Linked DNA regions of Mus musculus. The protein of the gene in region 2 purifies or fractionates together with the protein of the main gene of each other region. This does not show direct contact. Links are inferred from orthologs where the notes say so. Each region holds a gene or a part of one and is shown on either strand. Other genes may lie near its edges.

The links.
Region 1: the proteins of Psmd4 (region 2) and Ubqln4 purify together in Homo sapiens (affinity purification with western blotting; 4 studies listed by BioGRID, with this or other methods). This does not show direct contact. The link is inferred for Mus musculus from reciprocal best matches to the Homo sapiens genes PSMD4 and UBQLN4.
Region 3: the proteins of Psmd4 (region 2) and Txnl1 purify together in Homo sapiens (affinity purification with mass spectrometry; 3 studies listed by BioGRID, with this or other methods). This does not show direct contact. The link is inferred for Mus musculus from reciprocal best matches to the Homo sapiens genes PSMD4 and TXNL1.

What each region holds. Positions count from the first base shown.
Region 1 is NC_000069.6:88,552,563-88,556,309, reverse strand, and holds the start of Ubqln4 (ubiquilin-4), read right to left. Parts: upstream 2,595-3,747; 5' UTR 2,506-2,594; coding exon 2,398-2,505; intron 2,372-2,397; exon of another isoform or gene 1,891-2,371; intron 973-1,890; coding exon 821-972; intron 521-820; coding exon 318-520; intron 1-317. Other genes in the region: ragulator complex protein LAMTOR2, read left to right, coding at 3,447-3,514. UniProt on the Homo sapiens protein: Regulator of protein degradation that mediates the proteasomal targeting of misfolded, mislocalized or accumulated proteins.
Region 2 is NC_000069.6:95,040,060-95,043,806, reverse strand, and holds the start of Psmd4 (26S proteasome non-ATPase regulatory subunit 4), read left to right. Parts: upstream 1-1,192; 5' UTR 1,193-1,273; coding exon 1,274-1,299; intron 1,300-3,747. UniProt on the Homo sapiens protein: Component of the 26S proteasome, a multiprotein complex involved in the ATP-dependent degradation of ubiquitinated proteins.
Region 3 is NC_000084.6:63,690,135-63,693,881, reverse strand, and holds the start of Txnl1 (thioredoxin-like protein 1), read left to right. Parts: upstream 1-1,522; 5' UTR 1,523-1,708; coding exon 1,709-1,806; intron 1,807-3,747. UniProt on the Homo sapiens protein: Active thioredoxin with a redox potential of about -250 mV.

The DNA.
Region 1 (3,747 bases), about 6.5 Mb from region 2:
GAGTTCAAATCCCAGCAACCACATGGTGGCTCACAACCATCTGTAAGGAGATCTGACTCCCTCTTCTGGAGTGTCTGAAGACAGCTACAGTGTACTTACATATAATAAATAAATAAATCTTTAAAAAAAAAAAAAAAAACCATCATAAACCGATCATTCATTCCCCACCCCAGCTTGGCTTAAGTTCCAACATCTGGAAGAGTGACTACGGTCATGGGACTAGGACTAGGGATCAGGGACCATTCTTCTTCTTTATCTTTGTGCACCCCACTCCCCTGGCCAATACAAAATTATGCTCTCCCCCGCTAAAGGCTTACAGAGGATCGATGCAGTAGCACTTGAGGGCCCCTCTGCAGCCACTGGAGAGGGCCCCCCTCCACTGCCAGCATCTGAAGTTGTATTGCCAGAGCTGCAGGGCTGGACAGGGGCGGCGGCAGGTGAGGCAGGCGTGGTGGAGGGTGCAGAGGCAGAGTCAGGAGTGGATGGAGGAGAAGCAGCAGCAGTCACTGGATCTTGAGCCCTGAGGACAAAGAGTAGGGAAACCTGGCTGGAGTGTGCACAAGTGACAAGGTGGCCTTGGACTGACAGCTCAAGCCACCTCCTAAGCAGCCTTGTTCCACCCTTACCCCAGGCTAGCAGGATGCTGGGGAGAGGGATGGTATCAGTTATCAACAGTCTCTAAGGCAACCTGGGAGTACTGACAGGCTCCCCCAGAGGTAAGACCTTATCCATCTGTGCCAGGCCTGGCTGCTGAACAGGTGAGAAAGAATGGGAGGTGAGGTCACAATCAGGAGCAAGGGCAGCTCCTGTCTGTACTTACTTCTGAGGGGTTTTGATGACTAGGTGGACTGTGAGCCCATCCTTGATGCCGTGCTGGCTCAGGGTGTCCCCATCCTTGAGGATCTTGCCTGCGAAGATCAGGACCAGCTGATCCTGCTGAGCCTTAAACCTCCGGGAGATCTCCTCCTTGAACTGTGGTCAAGAGGCAGAGATCACTGCAGAGGCCAACTGCGCCCCGCTGCAAGACTTGACCCTCAGTTCTGCCCCTCTAGCTACAAGAATCCATTCAATTAGTTCCATGACACAGTATCCCAACCCTGGAAAGCCCCTGCTGCTATCCACAACAGCAGCTTCTGTCCCACCACCCAATTCTCTGAAAGTGATACCTCACAGAGGCATGGGCAGCCCTCCCCATCCTAAATCCTTCAACTAGCCTTGGGCTCAGGCTGTCTCTCTTCAGCCTTCTCTCTGCTTTTCAGTCCCAGCTTCCTCATCACTATAACAGATAATCTAGAGTATTATTGAGATCTATTGAGGAATCTAGTGTGTTAGTTACCATCTCTACTTAATTAAATTAATTAAATTTAATTAATTAATTAATTAATTAAGAGACAGGGTCTCTGCATGTAGCTCTTGCTGTCCTGGAACTTTCTATGTAGACCTCGAACTCAGATAGATCCACCTGCTTCTACCTCCCCAGGGCTGGGAATTTAAAGATAAGGATCAGAGAAGAGGTAATGTATCCGGGGATATAGGAACTCAGGTCTGGACATCAATGTCTTCATCAGACACATTCTCAATAAGAGCTGTTTTATAATTCAGCTTTTCCCAGGGGACTTAAAATTCTCTAATGAGAGAGCAGCAGTGGTACCAACGGCTACACTGGGGCGAGTTAAATTTTCTAGATTCTATCAGCTCCTCCAAAACACAACACAACACAACACATATTCTAACTATAAACAGTGCACTTGCTAAGCAAAAGATCCCTCTCTTCCAACCAGATGGCCTATTCTAAGCCCCGCCTATGTGCAATTCTGGAGCAGCTTCAAGCAGTGGGGAACACAGGCAATACTCCCTCACTCATTCTATATTATTTTGTTGAGCACCTACTGCGCTCAGCAAATCCTGTAGAGCAGAAAACTGAACTACACAACCGTTTCGATTTGCGACAAGGAGGCTCTGTGGAGAGAGAGAGAGAGGGAGAGAGAGAGAGAGAGGGCACCACCACCACGCGACACTCCCGGGAGAGCATAGCCGCAGCTCGCTCGGGCCGCACGGTGCCTTAGCGCCTGGAACCTCTACCAGTGACCCTGGAGCACACTCTCCTCAAGCCTAGGCTCCAAATGGAGCCCGCAAGCAAGGTGTCCCTTCCTCAAGCTCCCCCACCACGCCCCCAGCCCGGGTAGCGCGGCCAAACCGGCCCCTACCCGCGCCACGCTCCCCGGACTAGCCCTGGCAGGGCGCCCCCTACCCGCTTCTCCCGCCTGTATGCCCCTGGATTCCGCCCCGGCCGGGGGCCCGTCCCCGGCGCCAGGCCGACCCCGAGGTCTCCCTCTCTGCTCTGACCCCCTCGGTGCGCTGCTCCCGCCCTCCTGTCTCCTCCCAGCCAGATACTACCTCCTTGACCGAGGCTTGATCGCAGATCACGATCTCCTCCTTGTCCTTGGGGGTCTTGACGGTGACCCGAATCTGGGGCCTCGTCTCAGCCCCACTCGGCTCCGCCATGCCGCCGCCCGGCCGCCCGCCAGCCCGTCCGGCTCCTCCTCCTCCTCCTCCCGGCCCGCCCGGCCCGGCCCGACTCCGGGGCCTCCAACTCCCCCTCCCGCCCCTCCCCAAGGCTCCGCCGCCCACTCCGGACAGCCGCAGCCACAGCGCCCCGGGCGGCCTGGGGGAGCACTGCAGCTGGGGCGGCCCAGGCCCGAGCAGGGTGCGCAGCTGGCCCGGGCCGGACAGCGCGGAGGGCGGGAGATTCAGGGCCGCCTGCGGCTCCCTCCTGTTCGGACAAAGGACTTTCGTTGTCGCCGTCTTATCTCCGTTCCCTGGGGTCACTTGGTTTTCTTGAGAGGCCTGGGTTCGTTCCTGGTTCAGGACGTCCTTAAGACCTCTGCGGATTCGAGCAGTCGTGGCCTCCGGGGAACCGCCCCGAGGGAGCCATTAAGGACGGTTTCAGAGACCTGGAGTTTGCCTACGTGGCTTCTCTGAGCCTTGGGAGTAAAAGAGCAAGACCCCACAGAATTGTGACTAGCGTACAATATTGCTTTAAAAAATGGTCAAGGATGTGCCTAACAGATAGATTTATTATTAGATTGCGATTGACCAGTAGGCACGAAGGCGTCCTTCGCGTGGAAGATGTTAAAAGTATTTCCACCGTTGCCACTGTCCTTGCGCTCCCGCTCTCCCCCCCCCCAACTCCACAACCACATGGTCCCACTGGAACGCTGAACTATGGTTCCCAGAATTCCTTGAGCGATCACATGAAACTACGATTCCCAGAGGCCCTCGCGCGGGGCGGGAATTGGGCCAGAGCCTCAGTAGATGGGCCCGGTGACTACAACTCCCAGGCGCCTCGTAGCTGGGCTCCTGGGCCACCGGAAGCGACTGAGGGAGAGCAAGAGGCTGCGACTGTAGGGGTGTGTTGGTGCAGGTCAGGGTTAAGAGACGCAGGCATGCTGCGTCCCAAGGCTTTGACGCAGGTGCTAAGCCAAGCCAACACTGGAGGAGTCCAGAGCACCCTGTGAGTGAACAAGAACCCAAGCAGCGAGCGCTGGAATGGGGCGGCGCGCGGCTGTCTGCAGTAGGGGTAGGGAAGAGCCCTACGCCGGGAGGTGGCTAATGTTGCAAGCTGCAGCTTCGGAAACCCTGCTTGAGGGCTTCCTCGGAAAGGGAAATGGACAGTTGATTAGCGTGTTCCTGGATTCTTGCTTCCTAAAAGCGCCAGTAGCTGGAATTGGGATAGGAACTCAGACC
Region 2 (3,747 bases):
ATTTTTGAGAATTCTCTCACTAAATTTCCAAGATGACCATGAATTTGTAATCATTCCATTATATAGGTGGGATCGCAGGCAAGTGCCAACAGGTCTTCTTTTCTTTGACCCCCAGAAAAGGTCTTATTGTGTATAACCCTGGCTGCCCTGGAACTCATTATATAGATCAGGCTGGTCTAAAACCCACAGATGCCTGCCTCTGCTTCCCAAGGGTTGGTGTTAAAGGTTAATTAACAAACCAAAATAACTTGCTGGCTATCCTTCGTTCCTTGGGTGATTACATGGTGTTTACTGCGGGCTGGGGAAATGACTCAGTGCTTATGAGAGAGCGCTTACTGCTCTTCCTAGAGGACCAGAGTTCGGTTCCCAGAACTCAAGACAGGCAGCTCACAGCTGCCTGGAACTCCAGTTCCGGATTTGATATTCTCTTCCAGCCTCTGCAGGGCCTGAATACACACACAAACGCTTAAAAATTTTTTTTGGTTTGTTTTTTTTTTTTTAATTGGTCAAAACTTTTCTGGATTCCTTCATCCTGTCAGACTCAATACTGGAGTTAGGAATTGCATAGATTTTTTTTTTTTTTTTTTTTGGTAGGCAGTAGATAGGTAAATCGAATTTGAGGATACAAGTGTTTGTAGCAGTTGCATAAACACAGTGCAATGGGAAACAGGAAGTTAAAATGTGGTTAACGATGCTGACACACTTTTTAAGTGATTATGCTTGGACTGACATATCCACAGTAGTGTATGCACTCATGAGTGTCTGTTATGTGTTCGAGGCAGTGTCACTACGTAGTAGCTATGTTGCCCACGTTGGCCTGGAAATTGCAGTTCAGATCTTAGCATGAGTGTGCCCCTTGTAAACAGCACTGGGAGGTGAAGCAATAGAGTTTATTAGCCTGAGCTCCACAGCGAATTGCTGTCATCCTTTTTCAAACCGTAACAACAAAAACAAATCAAAAACCCAAATATACAAAAGAAAGAGAGCAGAAGAGGGGGTAAATTACAGCTCTCCTGCCTCACACTGGAGTGTTGCTGCCAGGCGAGTGCAGAGAGCTTACAGCTGTTCCGGAAGCTGCTGCGAAGGTAGCCAACTCTATTGGATAACCAACCTTTCCATTTCTGTGGCGCCTACAAGTCCCAGAACACACCGCGGGGCGCGGAGGCGGGGCAGCATGAAGACTGAGTTCTTTGATTGGTGATGAGCACCAGGCCAATCGGAGGTGCTGTTGTTTGTCAGTCCCGGAGCCGGTCCGCAGAGGGAAGGAGGCAAGATGGTGTTGGAGAGCACTATGGTTTGGTGAGGAGCTTCGGACGTGGCTGGGGGGCGCGTCTGGGTTGTTGGTGCGCGTGGCGCCGAAACCCGAGGGCCTGGGCTGGGGACTGGGTCGCCGGGCGAGATGTGGCTTCGGGGCCCGCGGGACTCTGGCAGACGACTCCCTGAGTCATCCCGGCCCAGGAACGCAGGCCCGGGAACTCCTGTTCCCTTCCCTGAATTTCAGGTCTCCCATAAAGCAGAGGCCAACTGCCCCCTCCACTCGCCTCCAAGTTTTTCTTTTCTCTGTACTTTATCGCATGTAAACCTCACAACCGCATTCTTGGAAAATAGTCCTTGTCTCATAATGAGTCGGAAGGACTTTAGGGGATCCGCTGTAGTCACACAGCAAATTAAGAGGCCGTGATAAGCAGGATGAACTAGGTTTTATCAGGTTTATACTTGGGATGAGTACCTATTAAGAGTTAGATTAGAAACTGAGGACAAGAAAATAAATAGAAAGCTGAGAACATATTTTTTTTCAGGGCTACAAGAGGACTTTGTTTTGTGTTTTCTGGGAATTGAATCCAGAGCATTGTGAACGCTGGGAACGTGCTCTACCAATGAGCCTCATCACACACCTGGATTGCATTTATTATTTGTCATCATTATTGTTTTAGATGGAGCTTTGACACTGTAGCTCAGACTGGCTTTGAAGTCGCTATTTGAGAAGATGCACAGGTTGGCCTTGAACTTGGAATGAGTATGTAGGATTAAAAACTTGAGTCACTAGGCCCATGTTTTCATTTGGAGATTGGCTAGCACTGCCACCTAAATGCAGGATGGCTTAAGCTTGGTTTCCTGCACTTGGAGGATGAGACAGGGAGTTTTCATGATCAGGACTACCTAGCAAGGTTCTGTCTCAAAATAAGACTACCAGAATGCCCAGTTAAATTTGAATTTCAAGCAAATCATGAGTGATTTTTTAGTATGAAAGGGAATTTTAAGTCCAACCCAAATATTGCTCTTACAAGTTACTTGTTGGGGCCGGGCAGTAGTGGCACACACCTTTAATCCCAGCACTTGGGCAGCAGAGGCAGGTGGATCTCTTAGGGGTTGAGGCCAGCCTGGTCTATAGAGCAAGTTCTAGGACATGCAGAGAAGCCCTGTCTCAAAAGGTGGTAAAATAAAACAAAAACAACAACAAAATAGTTACTTGTTGAGGGTGGTGAGATGGTTGGGTGGGTAAGAGCACAGAGTTTGGTTCCAAGCACCCATGTTGTTTGCTGCTGCCTTCTTTTTTTTTTTTTTTTTTTTTGGTTTTTCGAGACAGGGTTTCTCTGTGTAGCCCTGGCTGTCCTGGAGCTCACTTTGTAGACCAGGCTGGCCTCGAACTCAGAAATCCGCCTGCCTCTGCCTCCCGAGCGCTGGGATTAAAGGTGTGCGCCACCACGCCCCTCGCTGCTGCCTTCTTGACAGGACCAGAAGATCAGTGCCTTTGATCTCTGTAGGTGCCCGCACACACACCTAAAAACAATAAATATAAATCTCGAAAGTTACTCATTATTCATCTGAAATTAAAATTTAACTTTTAAGTCCTATATTTTTGTTTTTTTTTTTTTTAATTTTTTTTTTTTTTTTTAGATTTATTTATTTATTATATGTAAATACACTGTAGCTGTCTTCAGACACACCAGAAGAGGGAGTCAGATCTTGTTACGGATGGTTGTGAGCCACCATGTGGTTGCTGGGATTTGAACTCTGGACCTTCGGAAGAGCAGTCGGGTGCTCTTACCCACTGAGCCATCTCACCAGCCCTATTTTTGTTTTCTAAGTTTGCTTTCACTTCTGGGATAGAGTATGTTAAAATAGAAGATGGATTTAGAATCCAAACAGTTCCCTGGCTCTCACTTACATTTTGCATATTGTTGGAGAATTGTAGTAACTTCTCTGTGTCTCATAGTACAAGCAGGTAAGCCATATGTGATGGTGCTCTGTAAAGTATAGAGCTCTGTAGCGGCATGGTGTTTGGGGAATCCTCAGAATTTAAGAGCTGTAAAAAGACATGTTGAGGAGAGGTCATTACAAAGTTGCTGAAGTAAGAGTCCCGTGTTTGGGAAATAGACCAGAGTGAACCTTAACATAGATTGTTGTAAGGTGGGAGGAGTCACTGTAGAAAGAAATGACTGAAGAGCTTGAACTCTGTTCTATACCCCAGTGAGAAGATTCTGAGGGTGATGGAGTCAGACCTTTGTACAGACTGACACTGATTTAAGAATATTGATCTGGCCAGATGTGGTACACACCTGTTGAGAACACTGGATGGTTGAGACAGAAGGATCATGAGTTCAAGGCCAACTTGGAATGCATATTGAGGTCCTGTTTAAAAAAAACAAAAAACAAAAAAAAGCCAGGCATGGTGGCACACACCTTTAATCCCAGCACTCGGGAGGCAGAGGCAGGTGGATTTCTGAGTTGAGGCCAGCCTGGTCT
Region 3 (3,747 bases), on a different chromosome or scaffold from region 2:
TTGGTGTCCAGTGTTGTTCCTGTCGCCACCGGCTTGAAGGACTGTAGCACCCACCACTTCCCACTCTTTTGGACTTCCAGTTTGCTGACCCATGAGATGTTTCTGTTGTACAAGCCACTTTTTCCTGTGGCATTTTTGTTAACACAGCTCTAGCTGACTAACTTACAACTGTTTATAAATAGTGTTTGCTTGGTATTGTATATTTGGTTTGAACATCATTATAATTCACAATTCTGCAAAGTAGATAGTAACACACTTCCCAGACAAGAATGACAAAGTTTGGAGAGGTTAATGGCTTGCCCATCCCTATAGGACCAGTTGCAGAGATTATGGAAAATTCTGCCAGTTTCTATTAAAGTCATTACAGTGTCTAACGTGAATATATATAAATATATATGGATATATATACATAAATATATATGGATATATATACATAAATATATATGGATATATATACATAAATATATATGGATATATATACATAGTGAGATGTATGTACTAAGCAAATATTACCTATTATCTGCACTTTGAATTCACTTGCACATATCTAGAATATTTCTAATACCTTTCTCTCTCTCTCTCCCTCTCTCTCTTTTTTTTCCGAGACAGGGTTTCTCTGTATACTCCTGGCTGCCCTCGAACTCGGAAATCTGCCTGCCTCAGCCTCCCAAGTGCTGGGATTAAAGGCATGCGCCACCACTGCTCAACTACCTTTCTCTTTCAAAATCGAATTACTTTTCTTTACTCAAAAAACTATTGGGTGACTTTCATGCATTTTTTACATCCTATATCAAATATATTTTTGAGAATTTCATACATGCCTATGTGTTTTTGATCAAGTCCATCCCAGTTCCCTCCTGCTGCGATCCTTCTGTATCTCCTGCCCACTTACTTTCCAACTCCTGCTCCTTTTTAAAAAAACCCACTCTACAAGATTGAAGTTACGTCCACCCTTTACCCTGTGTCACAAGCTCACTTCCTGTGCTTCCAACTTTCGTATTTGTTAATTTTGTGTGTCACTAGACTCCAGATTCCTGAAGAAATGGGGGCGTCGCTTTTTGGCATTATTTGGGTACATATGGGTACATTATTTGGGATGTCTGCTCGGGGAACACCCATAGATAATGAAATCCATAAAGCAATGTTCCCATGACGTGTCGAGTGACTCGCCCGTCAGTCTTTGTAAAGGGTGCCGTCACGCGCCCGCATAGGGAAGGAGGGTCCCTTAGCCCGGTCTCCTCAAAGTCAGCGCTTGGTGAAAACAAAGCAAAACAGAACAGAAGAGAACTTTAGGTCAGCGAAGCTAGTAGGAGAGCAATTTCAGAAGCACAGCGGCGCCAAGGAATCGACAGCCATCGCCTGCGCCTGCGCCCTTCCGGCAGTGAGCGCCTCAGGTGGGCACGCAAAAGGAAGTGGCGGAAATGACGTCCAACGCGCGCGGGCCCAGGCTCCCTCAGCGCCCGCGCGGTGGCTGCTGGGTGTTGCGCGCCTTGCCCCTCTCGCTCGCCTCCCAGCCCGCGTCTCCTCCCCCTCCGCTCGCCTGCTCCCTGGCGTGACTCGGCACTCGCAGCTCCGGGAGGACACGTCGTGGTCGCCGTTCCCGCCCAGGCCCCGGCCTCCTGCAGCCCGTCTCCGGCCTCTCTCGGGCTCTGTGCTTCAGTTTTGAGGCCGGAAGCGTCGCGGCCGCCCTGCCGGGCTCTCTGTGAGGATGGTGGGAGTGAAGCCGGTCGGGAGCGATCCAGATTTCCAGCCGGAGCTGAGCGGGGCGGGCTCCAGACTTGCCGTGGTCAAGTTCACCATGAGAGGGTAAGGCCGAGTCTGGGTCGTCCTCTCGGGGTCCCTGCGCCCCCAGCTTCCCCGCCCCCGTTTTCCGGGTCCCAGTTCTCCTGTCGCCTTCTGCTCTGGAATGTCCGGTGGTGACCACAGCCCAGGCGGCTGCCAGGCTTAGGCCTCAGCTCAGAGTGCGGGTCGCAGATGTGCAGAAGGGGCTTCCTGGCGGGCACAGAGGCCACGCTGGCGGGTCCGGACGCCCAGGACATGCCTGCCCGCCCGCCGAGTTTAAAATCGTGGATGTCCCTGCTCTTGGAGGCGGCCCGTGATGCTTCCAGTTTGGAGAGTCTCAGCCTCTACTACTTGCGCCGCTGCCAATCTTTAGGAAGAGCCGGCCATCGTTTGCATTTTAGGATCTGAAAGCTCAGTTTTTAAATTGGTTGATTTCTCTTTACCTGTATTTTCTGCAAAGCCTTTATAAGATCCAGATGAGGGTGTCCATCTATTCGGAATAACTACGTGTAGTCTTAAGGCCTCGTTGGTGCATTTTGAATTAAGTTAATGTTGGGACATTATCTCTATAGTGTGCATAACATGTTTATTCCATGCTTGGTTTTGTTTTAGGCTCAGTATATGCTGATTACAGACACAAAGTACAGTTTGTACATGTCACCGGCTAGACAGACCCTCTGTGTTTGTCCAGACTGCCCTTTTAACTTAATGATTTAAGATGCTAGGAATGTAGAAAGATGTTCACAGATCTAAAGGACAAAAAGCTGGAGGATCGTTTATTGGGTGTGTAATGTGCTCGTCTGCAATTGGAACTAGGCTTTAAGAGCCAAAACTTAGCTTCTATTTACAGAGCCCTTGAATGTAGCAGTACCAAGTTAAAAGGTTTAGAAATCTTCATTTGACCACCTGGCGTTATTTACACACAAACTGGGAGCGAGTTTATGTAACAGGTTTATTTGCCTGTGTTGTTGGTTTTTTTTTTTTTTTGTTGTTGTTGTTTTGTTTTTCCCTCTTTTTTCCTTTTTTGGGGGGGGGGGTGGTTTTGAGATAGGGTTTCTCTGTGTAGCCCTGGCTGTCCTGGAACTCACTCAGACCAGGCTTACACCTCGATCTCAGAAATTCACCTGTCTCTGCCTCCCAAGTGCTGGGAGGTGTGCACCAACAGGCCTGGCCCTGTTTGTTTTTTCTTAAAGCCAGAGAAAAATTCAGTTTCTAGTACAGGGTTCAGTAAATGTTGTGTAGAAGATGTAGATAGCTTTAGGGCACAAGCAGAGAAGGAAACAAGTATAAGGGTTTTGTTGGTGACGTTTGTTTTGTTTTGGGGCCAGTCTCCCACAGAACTGAAAGGGGAGAAGTAATTCAATAGAGTCGAGTCTCCATTCAGTTAGGGTCTTTGGAAATTGACAAGGTCAGGCTATATCATGTATTAAGATGTGTCTCAAAGGAGGGTCAGAACTAGAAAAGTCTTCTCAGGCTTCCATGTTTCTAGCTTTTTTCCTAGGAGAGTAGCTGCTTACAGTGAAAGAGAGCAGACAGGAATCCTATTTGTACTCCATCCTTCTACTTCTGGGTAATTGCACTTTTACTCTCTTGTCACTCGGTTATTTAGTTCACCCTTACCATGGCAGAGGCAGTGAGAGAGGTGGAGAAACGTTGCTACTAATGGAATTTTTCTGTTAGCAGTGTGGAGTCATTCTCAGTATACCTGTAGGGACTGAATGGTAAAGAGCTAGATTACTTAATAAATGCTTTAATGGAATGAAAATTATGTTTGTTTTCCTTGTAAAAACTTAAGGAAAATGAGTGCTTACATGTAGAAAACATTTTTAGTTTAAAAGAGTATTTAGGTAACATTTATAAATTAAGTGAGGTTATGTTTTACCCTTAACACTCTTTTTATTTTTAAGTCTTTTGACCATTCTTTCAATGTGGGCAATCAAGCCATTCCTCTCTGAGGCCATTGCA